Drosophila melanogaster: one gene and its partners. The protein of the gene in region 2 interacts with the protein of the main gene of each other region in a pairwise test. Each region holds a gene or a part of one and is shown on either strand. Other genes may lie near its edges.

The links.
Region 1: the proteins of Rchy1 (region 2) and Arl5 interact in a two-hybrid assay, tested with the Drosophila melanogaster proteins (one large-scale study listed by BioGRID).
Region 3: the proteins of Rchy1 (region 2) and Spn28Dc interact in a two-hybrid assay, tested with the Drosophila melanogaster proteins (one large-scale study listed by BioGRID).
Region 4: the proteins of Rchy1 (region 2) and CG13159 interact in a two-hybrid assay, tested with the Drosophila melanogaster proteins (one large-scale study listed by BioGRID).

The regions. Positions count from the first base shown.
Region 1 is NT_037436.4:8,297,994-8,301,785, reverse strand, and holds Arl5 (ADP-ribosylation factor-like 5), read left to right. Parts: upstream 1-1,946; 5' UTR 1,947-2,495; coding exon 2,496-3,035; 3' UTR 3,036-3,285; downstream 3,286-3,792. Other genes in the region: CG13671 (uncharacterized protein), read right to left, coding at 1-1,670; Rab19, read right to left, coding at 3,562-3,666, 3,715-3,792.
Region 2 is NT_033779.5:6,459,666-6,467,339, reverse strand, and holds the start of Rchy1 (ring finger and CHY zinc finger domain containing 1), read left to right. Parts: upstream 1-1,670; 5' UTR 1,671-1,811; intron 1,812-3,200; 5' UTR 3,201-3,496; coding exon 3,497-4,078; intron 4,079-6,623; coding exon 6,624-6,785; intron 6,786-6,858; coding exon 6,859-7,017; intron 7,018-7,345; coding exon 7,346-7,624; intron 7,625-7,674. Other genes in the region: HemK1 (HemK methyltransferase 1), read left to right, coding at 1-521, 576-816.
Region 3 is NT_033779.5:8,004,038-8,008,864, reverse strand, and holds Spn28Dc (serpin 28Dc), read left to right. Parts: upstream 1-1,654; 5' UTR 1,655-1,732; coding exon 1,733-2,433; intron 2,434-3,304; coding exon 3,305-4,214; 3' UTR 4,215-4,317; downstream 4,318-4,827. Other genes in the region: CG12560 (uncharacterized protein), read left to right, coding at 1-147, 213-423; Wwox (WW domain containing oxidoreductase), read left to right, coding at 4,677-4,768. UniProt on the Drosophila melanogaster protein: Serine protease inhibitor which is required for pupal viability and plays an essential role in regulating the melanization reaction.
Region 4 is NT_033778.4:12,373,558-12,376,184, forward strand, and holds CG13159 (uncharacterized protein), read left to right. Parts: upstream 1-1,728; 5' UTR 1,729-1,811; coding exon 1,812-2,042; 3' UTR 2,043-2,121; downstream 2,122-2,627. Other genes in the region: CG13160 (uncharacterized protein), read left to right, coding at 1-33, 91-271, 328-512, 566-709, 773-1,264, 1,317-1,484.

The DNA of each region.
Region 1 (3,792 bases), on a different chromosome or scaffold from region 2:
AATGCTTGGGATAGAACGGCTGACAGAGCGCAGTCAGGACGATGCATAAATACCACATTGGTGACATTTGGTCGCTGGATTGCCTGCAACAGCATCTGTCTATTGTATTTTCTACTGAACCCAGATTCCATCATGGCAAGAGCATTTTTGTGAGTCCTTGGCAATGTTCTGGCGTAAAACTGCCGTATAAAATCTTTAAGAGCTACGTAGGAGAATGTGTGTTGCTGTGGCATAACATACAGTGACTCTTCAGCCGCATCCAAGATGAAAACCTGCACCTGCTGATGGGTTTGCTGAATGCCAAGCTGGTGTAGATAGTCTCTATATTTCACAGAATCGAAGATCACCACGCCCAGCGACCGATTGTGGGCTGCGCGCTCCGTCGAGTGCTGCCAAATGAGCTGGCCATATTTGGTTACCATTTTGGCAATGCCGATTTTTATGGCCGGCGTTCCATGCTGTGAGTGTGCCAGGCAAAGGTTTCTGGAGTGAAGCCGCAGCAAGTGGGGGACGTTTCGATAACTCGGATGGTTCTGGTGCGAGTACTGCCTCCATAGGTGGTTTAGATACCTATTAATCCGATAATAGTTCTTAAGTGTGGTCTTGTTTTTACTCCAGGCCGGGTAACATGTCCGGGTTTGTTCACCATCCCCAAACAGCTCCTTGGGAACTTGATTTAGGGAGGAGGATATGTCTTCAGATTGTTTATCGAATTTTTTCCAGTAGTCTTCGCACCCCTCCGACTGCTTTTTTTGAGCGTAAGCCATCTCCTCGCCCATGACGCTAGCATGGTGATATTGGTTCATTCGAACTCCCATAGCCAGCACGGGGACATGTCGTGCCTTCATGGCGATGGTCATAGGAGTGCCATAGCCATTGGAGAACAGCGACATATTTTTGAGTGTGCTCCGTACCCAGCGCAGAATGTCGATGGTCTTCCATACTCCAGATGTACCATTAAACGTATGAACTCCATTTCGGCTGTCGATAACTACAAACTGGGGCAGCTTGGCCTCCGAGGACTTCAACATCTTCCTGGCACTGTTGCCAAAGTACACGGTGAAGCGGATATTCCTCTCCGGATCCAGTTCCAGCCAGCGCAGACCGGCAGCCAAGTAAAGATTGTAGGCCTTGTCGTCTGGCGAGTCAAGCAGACCCAAAACCACCGCATCCGAGTGCTTCCGAATGGCGGCGAGATCCTGACTACTGTGTGCCCGGTCCAGTGGCTGAAGCAGGTTATTCATGAACCGGGCGAGATCTTCAAAGCTCCACGAGCCCTGGTACTGGAGTAACTGCTTTTGGCCGTAGCGCACGATCAGCGTGGGCCATTTGTCAGGATAACCTCCTGCGCCGGCGACTCCTGGTGCCGGCATCAAAGTACGGCTGCAATTGCACTGCAAGTGCCAGCAATCGATGGCTCCAAAGAAGCCATACTCCTGGTAATAGTGGGCCAGTCCATTGTAGACCAGTCGTGCCTGCCGTGCTTCGCTGGCCCAGGACACGTAGTAAAATAGCAGCGAGATCTCTGACTCTGACGCTTCCGCACGGAGCTGGGGAACACTGCGTCCGGGACACTCGACAATGGGAGCCTGGTCGGATGTGGCTGACCTTGAGGCGTCCAACTGAGCGATAGAGAGAGCCAGGAGCAGCAGGCTCAAAATTATTTTCATTGCAACCGGTGGGAAGCTAATTAGATGTTAAGAACAACACAACAGCAACCGCCGTGAACAGATGTTTGCCGCGAGGATGGCCACACTGGTAACGTCGGTAGTGTTGTTAATAATAATAATTTATAAGTAATGACTAAATCTAAATTTTAAATTTGAAAATAATTCTTTAAATAGGTTCAATATTCAAAAATAACTTGTTTTGGAAATGCAAAAGAAACGTTGTTAAGCACTAAATGGTTACGGTCTCATTAAGCTTTACTTTCTTCCCCACACTGCCCGCAGTTATCGATAGCAGCACTATCGATTCCAAGTGATATTAATTAATCACTTCTGCTGTTTACTTTCTTAATTAAAACTCTGTTAATTAAATTATCAACAACGGCTGTTCTAAACCCACTGCGACGCGTAAACGAAGTAGCGTTTCCCGCTGCAACGAAACGAATGGAAACCACCCAAAGGCAAACCACCTGAAAATCGCTCACCAATCCCCCCAAAAAAATTCCCATTTGGCGAAAACAACAACAGTAATTAGGGTGTGAGAGTGTGGAGTGAATAGCTGAATAGTTAAATCAGTGAATAATTTACCGTACGGCCTTCGCCTTCCCCTGCGGAAACAACAACAAAGCTCAGCGTTCACTTACACCCACACACACGGGTCTACCACGCATACACACGCAGGCCAGCCGATAACCTGTGTGTGAGGCAATCGCCGTCATCGTTCGAAATCAAATCTCTAATCGGTGGAAGCAGCAACAACAATAACAGCAGCTGCAGCATAATCAACAATTGATTATATACGTATATAGCTAAAAATAAGGTTCAAATATGGGACTGTTATTATCGCGGCTCTGGCGGATGTTTGGCAACGAGGAGCACAAGCTGGTGATGGTGGGTCTGGACAACGCGGGCAAAACCACCATCCTGTACCAGTTCCTGATGAACGAAGTGGTCCACACAAGTCCCACGATCGGTTCCAACGTGGAGGAGGTCGTCTGGCGGAATATACACTTTCTTGTCTGGGATCTTGGTGGTCAGCAGAGTCTGCGCGCCGCTTGGAGCACCTACTACACGAACACAGAGCTGGTGATCATGGTCATCGACTCCACGGACCGGGAACGGTTAGCTGTTACGCGGGAAGAGCTCTACCGGATGCTGCAACATGAGGATCTGAGCAAGGCCAGTTTGCTGGTCTATGCCAATAAGCAGGATCTCAAGGGCTCTATGTCGGCGGCGGAAATCTCACGACAACTGGACCTCACCTCCATCAAGAAGCACCAATGGCACATCCAGGCCTGCTGTGCGCTCACCGGCGAAGGACTCTATCAAGGATTAGAGTGGATCGTGCAGCGCATCAAGAACAAATGACCCGCCACACATGCTACATATTAGCTAATTAATCATTAACGACTAGCTGTCTAGAGAAAGTAAACCAATTTTGATATAAACAATTTTTAAGCGTTTCCAAATTGTTTGAAAAGTTGTTGCCAAGCCAATTTTATTTAGTGTAAAATACGTCCGAACAGGAGTCCCTCGATGATTTAAATCTACGTGTATATGGATAATGTCTAGGAGCTAAGCCAATTTAACTACGATACTTCCAATAAAATTACAAAATAAACGAGTTTATTTCGACACTGTCGCATATCAAATTGAATACAAATTACAAATAGAGAAGTGGACGTATTTGCCTCTCTGAGCATTGCCTTGTAATTGACATTGTTGGCTCGATTCGCTGATGTGTGAGATTGTTTGTACTCTATCGTCAAAAATAAATACATGGTTGTGTAAAAGTTAGTGTCTAGGATTAGGTTAAAGCATTAGAATACTAATATATAGCCACAAGAACAATTTGATCACAAAAGTAAAAGCAAACTAAAGAGCGGATTTAGGTCTAGGTGAGATTGCATGAGCTGCTGCAACTCTTTAAAGGCTTTCCCTGGCCCAAGGTGATGGTGTTTTCTGGCACCTCCTCCACATTGTTGGCATCGTGTTGGCGCTGTAATTGGAACATCATTAGCTTAGGTAACAATAGCCGGAATCGTACTTTAAGTTCGTTGGCCAGGCAGCGGAAGGCGTCCTCCACGTTCATGTTCTCCTTGGCGGAGGTCTCCATCACGAACAG
Region 2 (7,674 bases):
AGTTCGGTTCCTGACTCATTTGACCAGCTGCAGCTAAATCCCGGCCAGCTGGCGGATTTCGAGCGCTTCCTGGAGGCCCGTTGTGCCCGCATGCCGTTGCAGCACATCATTGGCGAGTGGGACTTCATGGACATTACGCTGAAGACATCGCCGTCGGTCTTCATTCCACGCCCCGAAACGGAGGAGTTTATGCGCCTGGTGATCGATGATCACAAGAACGCAAAGCACGTCGATCTTTTGGAGGTGGGCTGCGGCTCGGGCGCCATGTCCTTGTCCATGCTACACAGTCTGCCGCAGGTGGTGGCCACTGCCATTGAGCGTAGCAAGGCGGCAACCGTTCTGGCTGCGGAGAATGCCAAAATGCTGGGGCTGCTGAATCGATTTGAGGTACACAACCACACCATGGAGGAGGACAAGTACCTGCCGGAGGCGCTGAAGGACAAGAAGTACGATTTGATCATCTCCAATCCTCCGTATGTGAAAACTGAGGAGTTTCAGTTTCTGCATCCCGAAGTCGTGGTGTAAGTGATGTTATACCAGATGGATGCAGTGCACTAACTATCTTATATCCCCAGGTATGAGAACCTTAATGCCCTGGACGGTGGGTCCGATGGATTGAGGGTGGCTCGACTGGTTTTCGACTTGGCTTGTCGGCACCTGCGTCCCGGTGGCAAGCTCTGGCTGGAACTGGGCAACGACCACCCGCCGATGGTGAAGACCATTATGAATCTGAAGTACGAGGGCCGGCTCAAGTTCATCGCCGGCTACAGTGACCAGTATCAGCGCGAGAGATTCGTTCAGATCGAGAAGGTCTAGGCGAGATTGCGCCATAGACAGGACGGAATGCTATGACTTTGACAATGCAATTAGCTATAACGTTGCCCATGCATTTAGCTGTGATTTGATTTAAGACCAGACATACCTGCACGCTGCCCAGAGACTCACACCTATATAAACAGAATATATAGCGCTATTAATCCTTAAGTTTCGTCTCTGAATCTTTTAGCAACAACCGCAGGCGGTATTACTTCACAAATATACCTGTATAAATTGCACAATGCAATTAGCTGTTTGATTTATGACCATATTATTATCAGTATACAAAAACCACAACGACTTTTACCTAAGGCTTTCTACTGCATTTTTGATCCTATAATAATGGATTAACATGATTTTAAAGATCAATAGGTTAAAAGTATAATGCACCTATAATAACTGGTCACTGATTTAAACTATGGCGATTATGATTTATAACCAGAGGCTTGCTGCCATAAATTGGAGGGTGTTAATGATCATCGCGGATCGAGTATAATGCTGTTTAATCAAACTGATGTATTCTATATCTGCGATAAGCAAAATGCTAACCATATTTTTGGCCTGAAAGATGTGTATCCTGTCAATATATAGAATCAGAATATTTCTATGCAAATTAGAAAGTTTTTGCTTAAAGTTACCACTTTAATGCTTATAGGTGTACTGATTATGAAAACAAGGACACATGTCCACAAGGATTACCATAATTATGAACCCGAGTGCATAAATCCCCCGACTTCGCATCTGAATCTTGTTGTAACCGCTCCGCTGGAGAGCTTTAAGCTCCGGAGCGGATAAAAGCTCCGACAGAGTGGCTCGGAGCAACAAGTGGCTAACTTCCGTTGCCAGTTGGAAGTCGAAACTCGCGCCGGACGAGTCTGCGGAATCCGGGTGCGCGAGTGGAACGCGGATTTAGATTGTCGTAGCTCTTTAATTCAATTGACGATTTCGAGCTGCGATCTCCTTCGTTCGGCTGGTGTGTGTTGTTTCACTTTCAAGTACGCATACATATGTGTAGTATAATTAACAAATGGCTAAATCATAATTAAAGTCGGAGTTTCAGTGGATATCACAATGAGCGCTTGATGAAAGTCAAGAAGAGGGAACTTAAAAAGCGCCGAAACAAAACAAAAACGAGAAACACGTTAAACGAGAAATTGATTTTAAAAATTCTACATAAATTTGACCATATAGATTTGGGTAAATGAATGAATGTGCATATATATGTACATGTATATATATATACATACGCCCAAACTGCGATTTGAAGGCGGTTTGAATGTGGATTGGAAACTTTTAGAAACCAATTAGCCAGATCGTGACATTACTTAATGCATTTATCCGCCCGATCGACGCGTGCAAGTGTGTGCCTGTGTGCGTGAGTGCGTGCGTGCGTAAACATGAATACCGAATTGAATCGAGTTCAAACTTGCGTTCTTTTCGCCGACTGGTTTTCCGGCGAGGCTGGCTTAATCGCCTTGCGTTTGTAATTTTAGCACACTTTCAATATTTATTGTCGGTCCCTGCTCCCCGGCGCAGAAAATGCGAATAACAATCTGAGCAAACAAGATTCGGCAACGAATTTGCAGCTTGCCGCGCTGTGCAAATAAAAGTATATATAAAAGTATGTACATATATACATTTATATATAGCTGGTAATGCCTCCTTTGGCAGCATCAATATGTGCACCTGCTACGTGCAACACCGACTTGCAGCAACAGCCAACCGATGAGCGAAAGTCGCACGCCGATTGTGTTAACAAGTGTGTGGCTGGCTGCTCCCTGCCCGCATTTTAATTCATCATCCGCACCGTGTGCCAAGGCACTGCGATTCCCAATCCGTGGAGCTGTGAACGTTTTTGGCGACCTGCAGGCTAAGCAAGCGATTTATATGCTGCCGCTCACATGGCACAAGGTCCCATCCAAAAACAGCAGCGGCCAAGATAGTAGTTCATATGCACATATTTGGGTTCTTAACAGGTTAATTGTCATTTTATAATGATATGGGTTTAATAGGTTTCCATATCTGATCCAAAACTATACAGAAATGGAAGAAAGTCATCATAGGTGATCTTTTATTTGATAATTTCTTACATAAAGTTACTACTTCTTGTTCCCCATTGTACGTTGTGTACAGTGCGCGACGGCTAAGAAAACGGAGTGAAAATCAAGATAGTCGTTATCTAGTTTAGATGGCCTTTCGCAGTCGGGGACTGGGAAACATTGAAATGCAAATACGCCGCCTCGGTAGTTTCATTTGTGTGTCAAAAATTGTGTGGGGGTGTGGGGGGTTAACCCGGCTTAGACTCTAATCTGATCGATCGGAGTGTGAGAAATGGCCTGCTAATGGAATACTTACCACTTTCCCACACTTTTCAATCGCTTCAGCCGAGTGTGTCACCTGTGCGAGCCCATTAATACCCAAGGATGAGCTGGACAAACGAAAGTTAGTTGCGATCGCGTGAAAAGGGAAACCGGACAGTCGGTTTTTTGAGTGCGGATACAAAGTCTACATGTGGCACAACGACAACAGCATCGGCCAGTAATTTAAATGCTTCGCGGCGGCAATTGAAAGGGCCAGCAATTAACCACGACTACTGCAGCTGCGAGGCATAGTGGAAAATCACTTTTATAGACGTACATACATAACTCTATATATACATAGAGTTAGCTCCTGCAGCAAAATGAAGAACCGCCAGCGAACGCGCCGAATATCGCTAAATGAAAACCACAACAGATACATGGGCAGCGGCGGCATCGATGTACAAATAGTTACCAATACAAAGGAGCCCAATCAAGTCAATTTAAATTCATCGTCAGCCACGACGACCTCAGCGGAGGCTGCTCTGCCCGCTTCGCTTCCACTTGCTCAGATAGCGCAGCAGCCACATACCCATCCCCATCCCCATCCCAATCCCCATCTCCACCAGCAACACCAGCTGATTGTGACGCCCACAACGATGACGGGCAAGTATCATCCAGCGCACGCCAAGCTGCGAAGATGCAAATCGACGCCGAGTCTCAATTGCGATGGCATGGCGGAGCCCATGGAGGAGGACCAGCTCCATCGCTTTGCAGCATGCTCACGTAACCCCGCCGCGGAGGCTCAGCAGCATGCACAGCCATCGTGCAACAGCAGCAGCAGCAGCAGCGACGGCAGCTGCAACAGCAACAAGTGCAGCAGCAACATCTGCGGTGCGCAGCCAACAACTCCGGAGTCATTGCGCTTCGGATGCGCTCACTACAAGCGGCGGGCCATGTTCGTGGTAAGTGCAACAGGCAGTCCAACTCCATTCATATTATCTATGGATGCTTTTCCAAGCATTACATAAAAGGAAAAGCCCCAGAAAAGTTATAAAAGTTATACACTTGAACTTCTTTGATATGTATATCAATACAAATTTTAATCCTTTTTTAGTGTATCGTAGTATCTATAACCATTCTTAAGATTAGTAGATAGATGTTCGTAGAAAGACTAGACGGATCCATGTATCTAGCAGTCTTACTTGTAGTGAGATTAGTTTATTCAAACCTCAAATGTGAAACCAGTCAACTTATGTGATATAAGAACAAACTTCAATTTTGAAAGTTCTTTTTTTATTTTATACGGGTATAGTTCAATTCCTGGGTCATCAGATAAAGAATTATGCAATTGGAACCCCTATGTCATGATTAGAAAGCGGATCAGTCATTTCACTTTTATAAAATGAATCCTAAAAATACATTGAAATAAATTCAAAGTGATAAAGCCATTAAACATTTCACCCATTTGGAAAATTTTCAAGAAGATTATGATGGCGCCTCTAAATGGCATTTGTATGCCTATTTATCCATCTATCTATCTATGTGTGTGTGTGTGTCTATCCAACACAGCTACCTTCCTGAAAATGGGCGCATTTAACCTTTATTTATTCGTTCCTAAACAAATAAAGTGGCTAAACTCTAAACAGACACCTTTGGCGAAGATTCTTTTGTGTCTGTCTGCTGACTAGATTTTGAATTCAATTGGAGGGCATCGCTATTTGCACGGCAAGTGTTTGGCTTGTGTGGACAGCTTGACGATGTCCGGCATCCAAAAAACTAACTGGTCAGCATGCTCCGCTGAGCAGGAACTGAGCAGGAGGCGAGTGGCCACTGGCCAGTTAACACCTCCATTCGCCATTCATCTGGGCAAACAATGCGTTTGTCTTGATCGCTCGCGTTTGGATAACAAATTATGGGGCATCTAAAAATGTTGTGTGTGCATATAAAGCAATCGTAGCACGGCTATATTCAGGTTCTTTACCTTAACAATTAGTAGAGCCAGCAGACATAATTATCGTAAGGTGATAAGTACAGAAGTTCGAAGGTGGGAAAAGTAACTCAGTGCTGGGGAAAGTGGTAACCATTTCATGTATAAAGTATCTCATGCAGAGAAGACTGCAGCTGCACTTGATTAGATAGATTTGTTTGTGAATGACCTGGATTATTAAATAAAGAAAAAGAAAGTTAAATGTAAATATTTAAATACTTATAATTCCAACAGTAGTGAGCGCTTATTTGTTGTTGAAAAGCAGCCAATTCGCGATATGAATTATTAATTCCCCAAAAATTCTGTATTATGCGCTATGGCCTTACAATACTTTCCAAAAAATGTCACGTAAATCCGTACACACGCTTCAATCTGTCCCACATTTTAATAAAATTCGAATGTAGAGGTTTTTGCTTTCGTCTGTGCACCGCGAGAAATTCGGATAAGCGAGGGTTTTGTGCACTAATGAGGTGCCCATTGAGTGTTGAATCAGCTGGGTTATTTTATAGTCAAATATTTATTTTCGCCCGACAGTGCGTGAAATAAATGTATACATGAATGTGGACATAAGCTGAGAGCAGTATGTGCAATCCCCCAAGTGGAGCAATGCCCCATGGATATCGCCTGTTCCCGCGAATCTTGTATCAATTTGTGTTAGAAGCTTTGTTTCGTCTTGGCTAAATAAATTTGAGATGTCTGGAGTTAGCCAATTGCAGATGCAAACGATCATTAAAATACGATCGTTAGTGAAGCACAGCAATGAAAGCCGGGGGGAATGACAAAGAAACCGGATTCGAAGACTCTTCTCCGGTTCGGTTCTGTACTTCGAGTGTTATCATCGCAGCAGCAGCAGAGTTGAAATAAATACTTGTATACGAAAAAACTGTTGTTAAGTTATAAATAATTCTCAAAGATAGTGGAGATAGATGTGTGCGCGAGGCTGGAGGCAGATACAAATGGCTGGGTGTTGGCTGTAACTAAGCCGAACTCGAGGATACACAAGATAATTAAGGGCATAAATTAACTTATTTTCAAACTTTATCCCCAAGACAAAACTGATAGAACTATATCATGTAGTTCGAGCTGTGCATCGACAGGTGAACTAATTAGCAGCCACCTAATTAAACGACACGAGTACCTTTGGCATCTTTACAATCGGATTGGGATTCACCCGCTGATTTGACTCGAAATTCGTACAAAATTCGATTCAGTTTCAAGTGCCTTGTTTATGATAATGCTAAGTTATTGCCTTTGGCATGTAGACGTCACTAGTAGATTTGTTTTTTAGTCGGTTTCCAGGCAGATTTCTTAAATTAGCAACTCCATTTGGGGAGTTAGGAGTCGTGCTAATTGCCGCTCGATAATAGGTTTTTCGTAGTCCTTGACTGAGGGGTGTAGTCCATCGGCAGGTGTGGCGGGGAGCAATCTCAGCTCCATTTAAAGTGGAATTTTTTCGAGCAGCGATTTCTTTTCAGCACTAATTTGATCTGATACTGATCACGCAACTATATCTTTCTCAGACCCCCTGCTGCAACAAGTTCTACAAGTGCCGATTTTGCCACGACGAGAACGAGACGCATCACTTCGATCGCAAAACGCTCACCGAACTAATATGCTCCGAGTGCAATACGCGGCAAACGGTGCGGGAGCAGTGCCTCAATTGCGGCGTGAGATTTGGTAAGGTAAGATATCCATCCAGGTGTCCAAAAATCACAGCAAAACCCTACTAGTAATATCATTTTGATGTACTTACAGTACACCTGCCTGATCTGCAACCTCTTCGATGATGCGGACAAGCAGCAGTACCATTGTCATGGATGTGGGATTTGTCGCATTGGCGGTGCGGAGAACTTCTTCCACTGCGAGGTGTGCAACATGTGCCTACCTATTCAGCTGAAGATCGATGGCCACCGGGTGAGTTGGTACTACATTTGGCACTTCATTGGGCTTGATTAAGATTTGGCCTGTAAGTGGGAATGCTGACCTCCGCGATTCGAAAGCAAATCAAAGAAACACATTAACTTTTTTTTTTTTTTGTCAATTCATTACCAAAACCGGTTGCCTAATTGCTATATGTAGCGATATATGATCTGCGATCTGCAATCTGGGATCCAGTTGAGTGGATATGAATGTCAAATGTGCTGAAGCAATGACTTCATTAATTGACAGCGAATTGGGCCAGAGACTGGCATGGCTGATTGCTAAATCCTTGCTAATTGACAACGTGTCTATTTTCCCGTAGTGCGTGGAGAACATCTCGCGATCGCACTGCCCCGTGTGCCTGGGCGACATCCACACTTCGCGCATACCCTGCCACATTCCCGACTGCGGACACCTGCTGCACAAGATGTGCTTCGACCAGCTGCTGGCCTCCGGCCACTACACCTGTCCCACCTGCCAGACCTCGCTGATCGATATGACGGCGCTGTGGGTATACTTGGACGACCAGGCGGAGCGCATGCCGGTGCCACTGAAGTACGAGAATCAGCGAGTGCACATATTCTGCAACGATTGTCACAAGGTACGACTAGATATACATAATACTAACATTCATGAAAAGCTCTTATAACC
Region 3 (4,827 bases), 1.5 Mb from region 2:
CTTGACCATCGAAGATGCCGAAATCATCAATGAAAACTGGCCACATAATAAACCCGGCTCTATAGACTTTGTGAGAAGTTTAATTAAATATAATATTAATTTGGGTGCTTATGACGACAAGGGAAAGTTGGTTGCCTGGTGTCTGCGGTAAGCCATCGAACTGTATATAAATGTATATAAAAACTTATTAATTAATTAACTTTCCTGTTTAGATTGCCGATTGGATCCCTGGGTCTGCTGCAGGTTCTGGAGTCACATAAACGCCTTGGTCTCGGCAGCTTGCTGGTGAAGTCGATGGCTAAGAAGATTTCCGCAGCGGGAGATCAAGTTTTGGCGCCAGTAGTAACGAAGAACACCCCCTCGAGGAGCATGTTCGAGAAACTGGGTTTCCGTGCTATAGACAATACATACTGGGCTGCCTAGCAACTGAGAAGAAGCCAAAAACTAACATAAATATTATTAAAATAAATATAGTGTAGGAAATGATTGGTTTTTTAATAATAAAGAAGAGTGAATCAGCTCATTCAATTATAGCTGAGCACCCATGAATTTGAGCTTGAATTAAATTGAGATGGATTGTAATGTAAATTTAATATAATATATTGGATAAAATTGGTGAATATAAAATGATATAATCTTGAAATGTTAATGATTTCAAAGGAAGTTATTTACGCTTCCTTTGCACGTTTCATTTTTAATATTTTTTATAATGAAACTTGTGCTTAAATTGTCAAGTTAAATTTCCGGATAATATTTACTTTAATGGTCGATGGTTTTTATTATGATCAGTTTACCATAAACTGAAGCTGAAACTAACTAACTTAGAGTTAATAACTTACATGATAGATAAAAAACTTACACAACTACCATTAACTATTTTTGGTAACTGGCATTACAGAAGCAAAAATGAGTCATCGAATCTAAAATAACTCATAAAGCAAGTAACGCTTAAATATAATTTACGACGGGCTTGTACGACGGCATTATCTATTACCAATAAAACCCATCTCATATTTGTTTAGTTCTGATGGCCCAACAGATGAGCACAAATCTTATCCTAGCGCTGGGAAATCCCACCACGACTCCATCACCGTGTCAATGTGCCGCGAACTTTCCAATGACGAGACCGAGAATACGCACCAAACATAATGACTATAGTATATAGCTAATAAATATTTAAACTATTTACTCACCGGTTGCGAGAGAATATCAGTATGCACGTCACGGGTTTGAGATACATACGTACGTACATACATGCATAGATACAAATGGATGGGAGAGGGCTGCCATGGATTTCCGCAACAAAGTTCGCAGAATGCTGATATGAATGGGCGGGGGGCAGTACATGAGTACGTGAGAAAGTACCGATCGATGAAGATCAATAACAAGTGCAGACACGGGTCAGCCATGTAAACAAAGCCGGGGTATAACCAGTGACTCGTCGACGAAACCTCTCCCAGATCCAAGCTCGCCAAGATCCGAGAGCAGCTGGGGATGCAGAGCGCGAGAGATCGGGGACTTGAAGGAGCGTTTTTGCTTGATAACAAGTTTCCGATTCCAGTTTTATAAAGATGCGCGCTCAGCGCCAATCATTCAGTCTGGCTTTAACAACTCGCACAGCCACATCGCGTTTGCCTCTAAAAAAAAAAAAAAAAATATATATATATATATATATATATATAAAGTTCGTTCTGTGTGTTGCGTTCGAGATTAACAAAAAGAAAATTACAAAATGTGGCGCTTGCTTTTGGCACTTTTGCTCGTGAGTTCGGTGTGCTGTGAATCGGAACTATTTCGTGATGACCTGAGGACCCCGGAAACGATGGCCTACATCAATGGACTGATGCAGCGGCGGCATCAGATGCAACAGGAGGCGCAGCAGCACATTCAGGCGATACCGCCTGCGGTGCCCCTTCAATCGCCCGGCCTTGTGAACGGCCTTGGCAACCAGAATGACCCTGCGTTGAATCGCATATCCGGCACTTCGGTGAAACCTTCCAACCTTCCGGCTGCCTACTCCAACGGCTATGTGGATCTGGCCACCTCTGATCGGATTGCGAACAGTGTGCTGAACTTTGCCAACATTCTGGGCCAGCATTTGGCCAACGGTAAAACCCAGATATACTCTCCCCTGAGCATTGTACACTCGCTGGCTCTGCTGCTCCTGGGCGCCAAGGGTCGCAGTTACGAGGAGTTGTCCACGGTCTTCGATATTCCGGACACGTCCAGGCTGCACGAACAGTTCGGCCTGATGCTGCAGGATCTGCAACAGCCCACCAGGGAGGCGATCTCCGCAGGACGACCGCTGACCGATTGGCGGGCGAGCAGCGCGATGAGATCCAATCGACGGGCCCAGCGACCCGGTGCTCATGAGGTGCACCTGGCCAATGGACTGTTCACACAGACCGGCTACACACTCAATCCCGACTACAGGTGAGCCGAGCAGCGGATAATTATCCGGCTGCAAACTGGAACTATAGCGATATCTGGTTGGGAATGGGTGCTGGGAAATGCCAAACGATTAGCGATCGCCTTGAGGTTTTACACCGTGAAAAACTGAAGGCCATGCGGGCTAAAGTGATCTCCTTTTCTGAATGCCAAGTGAGGGAAACAGGTTCATTGTACCAGCAAAATGATCTCACCCATTATCATCAAGCGTTTAGTGTCTCTTGATGGTGGTGCTCCAAAAGGAAGTATTTATTTTATATTCGAAGATAATATACAACGAGAAAATATTAGAATATATTTTTCTGTGTAGAAATGAGCGTGTAATTCCACTTATATTTATGAATCTTTAAAGCCCAAGCTTTCATTGAGAAATATATATGTACGTACGTACGTATAAAGTTTAGAATATAAATGGGAACCATTGACAAACAAATTTAGTAAGAACTTTTAGTGCGATTGTTTTTATGTAGAGAACTTGAATAAAATTAAATCGGAATTGGAATTGGAATTATCAGTTAATCAAATATTTAATTAGAAACCTTAGGTCAAATAGTAGGTACAATGAATTGCCAAAAATTTGGCAAATAAAAAGCACTGATAAGAATGGATTAACTTAAAAACATAACTAAGACATTTAATTATTTATTTATTCTTCAATTATAGCTGATCAAACATTGCAAAAAAAGCGGAAAAAAACTACTTTCCCAAGTTATTATTTAGCTCACCAGATATTGCAATTCCAACCCATCCCCAGTTCCCCAATACTATCGCTCCACTTTGCACAACGTTGTTGGCATACTAATAGCTGCGCCTTGTTGATTTATTACTCATGAGCTCCACTTTTGTGCAATTCCAGACGGGTGATCGTCGAGGTCTACGCCTCGGATCTGCAGATTCAGGATTTCGAGGGCAGTCCGGCGACAGCACGATACAATATCAATGCTTATGTGGCGCAGCACACAAAGAATCACATCGAGAACATCATCGCCAGCGATATTCCGCAGACCACCAGGATGATTCTGGCCAACGCATTGTACTTTAAGGCATTCTGGGAAACGGACTTTATAGAGTCAGCCACACGTCCGGATAACTTCTATCCGAATGGCGAGGGAACGGAGCCGGTGATGAGGGTGCAGATGATGGCCACCGGTGGTGCATATCCGTATCACGAGGATCACGAGCTGGGCTGCAAGATCATTGGACTGCCGTACAGGGGAAATCTGAGCACCATGTACATCATCCAGCCGTTTAAGTCGTCGGTGAGGGAGCTAATGGCACTGCAGAAACGTCTGACGGCGGATAAGATCGAGAGCATGATCAGCCGAATGTACAGACGGGCCGCTCTGGTGGCATTCCCAAAGATGCATCTTACGGAGTCGGTGAACTTGAAGACAGTCATGCAGCGAATGGGGCTGGGCGGCATCTTTAGCGCGGTGCAGAATGATCTCTCGCTCATCGCCACCAACGAGGCCACGAGGACGAATGCGCTGGGCGGCAACAGCCTGCAGAATCTGGAGGCACAGCGCAGAGCCGGAACGGGTGGAGCACGTTCCGATCTGGTGGTGGATGACATTGTTCACAAAGTGGACTTCACCGTCAACGAGCAGGGCACGGAGGCGGCGGCGTCTTCGGTCACATACCTCAAGAAATCCGGTCCCGATGTCCTCTTCCGCGGAGACACTCCATTCATGGTCCTTGTGCGCCACGATCCCACGAAACTGGTGCTCTTCTACGGACTCATAAATGAGCCCCCGGCGGCCGCTTAGTTTCTAGGATCATAAGTTATTAAGCTTTAGCACCTAAGTTCGTTGACTTTATAGTTAGGAAACTAATAAATCATTCACAATGATGAAAAATAAATTAAAACGTAAATTATGAAAATTTGTATTGGTTTTTGTTGCTGTTGAATCTTTTCACATTATCCTATGTACCGTACAGCAGGCAGATTAAACAATGCCCACAAATGTTCAAGGCGCTAAGTTTCTACAAATCATTTAAATTTAAAAAACAACCGCCAATCAACCGGTTGCGGTTAAAAGCTCTGTTAAACGGAGATGCTGATTATTAGCGGGTAACATGTTTCGTTTAACGGAACAGCTGTTCATTTAGTCGGCAGTTATCGCTTAAGCCGCATGTTATCGATATCTTCAATTATTTTGTATTCTTTTTCGCAATAAAAAGTGTATACTTTAGAAATAAAGCTTTAAATAAGTTTAAATTGATTCGAAATGATAGCCCTACCCGACACAGATAGCGAGGATGAGCTGCCACCCGGCTGGGAGGAACGTGCCACCGATGACGGCACCGTTTGCTATGTGAAGTAAGTCAAAAGTCCAGTGGAGTCGTAAACATTGTCTGATATTTTTTAATTGCACCATT
Region 4 (2,627 bases), on a different chromosome or scaffold from region 2:
CCCATGACCCTCTACTTGACGCATACGAAGTGTGTAAGTAGTATCACTTGTTAACGAAGTTATTTTGTTATACTAAGCTATCCTCTGCAGAACAAGATCCCCCATACTTATTACTTGCATATTGTGGGTCACGCGAACTGTGTCCTTTTGGCCATCTTGTGTTTGGGTGCAACGGCTCTTAAATACCGTAGTGCCTATCTATTTCTGATCTCTCTCATTTTCTACGTTGCTGCTCTGATCATTAACCTACTGACCCGTCTCCATTGTCGCGGTAAGTTAGCTTATATATTCGTGGAGAACTTTTAATGATTCATGCCAACACTTTAGGTTATCTGTGGTCACTGGTGCTGATTGTTTTCCAGATTATACCCTTCATTTACCACGCCTACTTGTTCCACATGTTCATACTTATTCTCATTCCGATGACTGGTCGCTTTGGCGTCTCCACCAATCCGGATATACTAATCGGCGCTCTATGTGGTTTTGGCACAATTTTGGCGTTATCTTTTGCTGTAAGAAAGTTATTCACATTTATTGACTACTTTACTTAATCAGTTTCACTTAGGCTCCTTTAATCAATGTCTTTCGGCGACCGAACTGCATGCTGGGTGGTCTGGCACTGGTTATGTTTATTTTCTGCATGATTGCCGTCTCGGATGTCGGATTCCCGTATCGGCCCAAAACAAATGTCATGCGTGCCGACTTCATGGTAAGGGAAACACTAATAAGCATCCTTTGAAAGACGACTAAGTTCTATTCTTTGTCGGAGCAGCAAGTGCATCGCAAATTTTTCGAGTACAATGGTTCCATCAGCCACGAGGATTCTGGCTACTACTTCCATCTGGGGGATCGAAACAAAGAGGCACCTCTGCGCGATCACATGAACCTGACCAACCTGGTACGCCTGGGCGAGGATTGCGACTCCGAGCTGATGTGCGGTATTCCCTGCTACCGATATTGTAGTGCCCGGGAGCATGCACTTTGGCTTGCTCGAGAGGAGCCCGTGGAACTGCCTTATCCAACGGTCTTGGAGTTCCTTAGCAAGACAGTTCTGTCCGGTGGCTATCAGGTGCGCTATGAGTTCCGGCTAACTGGTCCGCCAAATATGGGTCTGTTCTTCAAGCCACTGGATGGTGTAAAACTACTCCGATGGACGTTTGCTCCCGCAATGCTGGATAATCCGGCCACTTACAGGCCTCCTCTGGAGGTCATGTTAACCTACGGTATTGATAACACTCCCATCGAATTCTTCGTGGAACTTTCTGTGCGTATTTAATGGGTCGTTCTGATAACTATACTAACTAACTGATTCTTAGAAGGACGATGGCAACTTCAATGAACCCGTCTTTGAGATGGGCGTCTCTGGACACTATGTCAGTCCACATGATAAGCGGGATGCGTTGAGCCTGGAGTTCCTTGCCACACTTCCGGACTTTGCCTTCTCGATGGAGTGGCCCAGTAGCTACGAACGGCATATATTCTAGGATAGTTAGCTAATAAGAATACCAAGTCATTGACACTCCCAACCCGAAAAACTTTTATTTTTCGGAAAATGGAAGGGGATCAAACATTGGATGCATTTCACAATGAGTTGGTCGGTAAACATTGGTGGGGGAAAGCTAGCAATGTAGCAAACGGTAAAGGAACCATTTGTGCAAACATTACAGGGAATACTACGACTGCCGCAGTCAAAATATGGGTATAAATAGTGAGGCCTGGACCAGCGAAAGACACACTCAGAGTTCAGCAGCTCGTCCGTCGATAAGCAACAGCCAGCCAGCAATCCTAAAAGCCCAAAAAATCCAATCAACATGAAGTTCTTCGCTGTCCTCGTCTGTTTCTCCGCTGTCCTGGCCATCGCAATGGCATCTACCGCAACTACAACCAGCACTCCCACAACGCCCTCTTCGCCCACGACGACGACGTACACCTATACTACCACCCCGACCTACCCCACCTACACCTACACCACGGACACCACCACCACTAAGCCAATCAAGCAACAGCTCCTGTCCCTGCTGTTCAACAAGAAGTCCGGATAGAGCCGCCCATCCGATCCACGATGCTGCCACTTGATACGATCCTCATCACCTGAATAGCCAAATAAAAACACCAAATACCAAAAAACAAACAAGCGCCGTCTCTTGCTCTCACACAATACCGCAATCGAAGTTAACCATCTCACGTAGCATTGGGCGGTGGGACATTTGGGGCTTTACTTCCACCTCCACCTCCATTTCTACTTCGGCGGTAACTGACATTTGCTCAACTGGCAACGGAACGCCCCGGCTCAGGCATTACCGCCTTTTGGCCGGACCTGTTCAAGAAACATCTGTTCGGCTGCCGCAAAGGTCAAGCGGCACTTGCCACATTCAGTTAGCTGGTGAGTAAGTCAGTTGGCCAGCCAGACATGATCATGGTCAGGTGGCAGTCATAATCCCGCCAATGATGATCATCAAGCCGTTGAGTCAAATGTCTAATGACTGCACTGACAAATTGATGTAGGAATGCAGCAGTCTGTCCCTATTCCTCTCACGCTGCCGAGGATGAGTTATGAATGTCAAGCTGGTCATGTTCAACACGATCCGAGATGATCATAGTGCCTCCAACGCCCCTCGCAATACAGG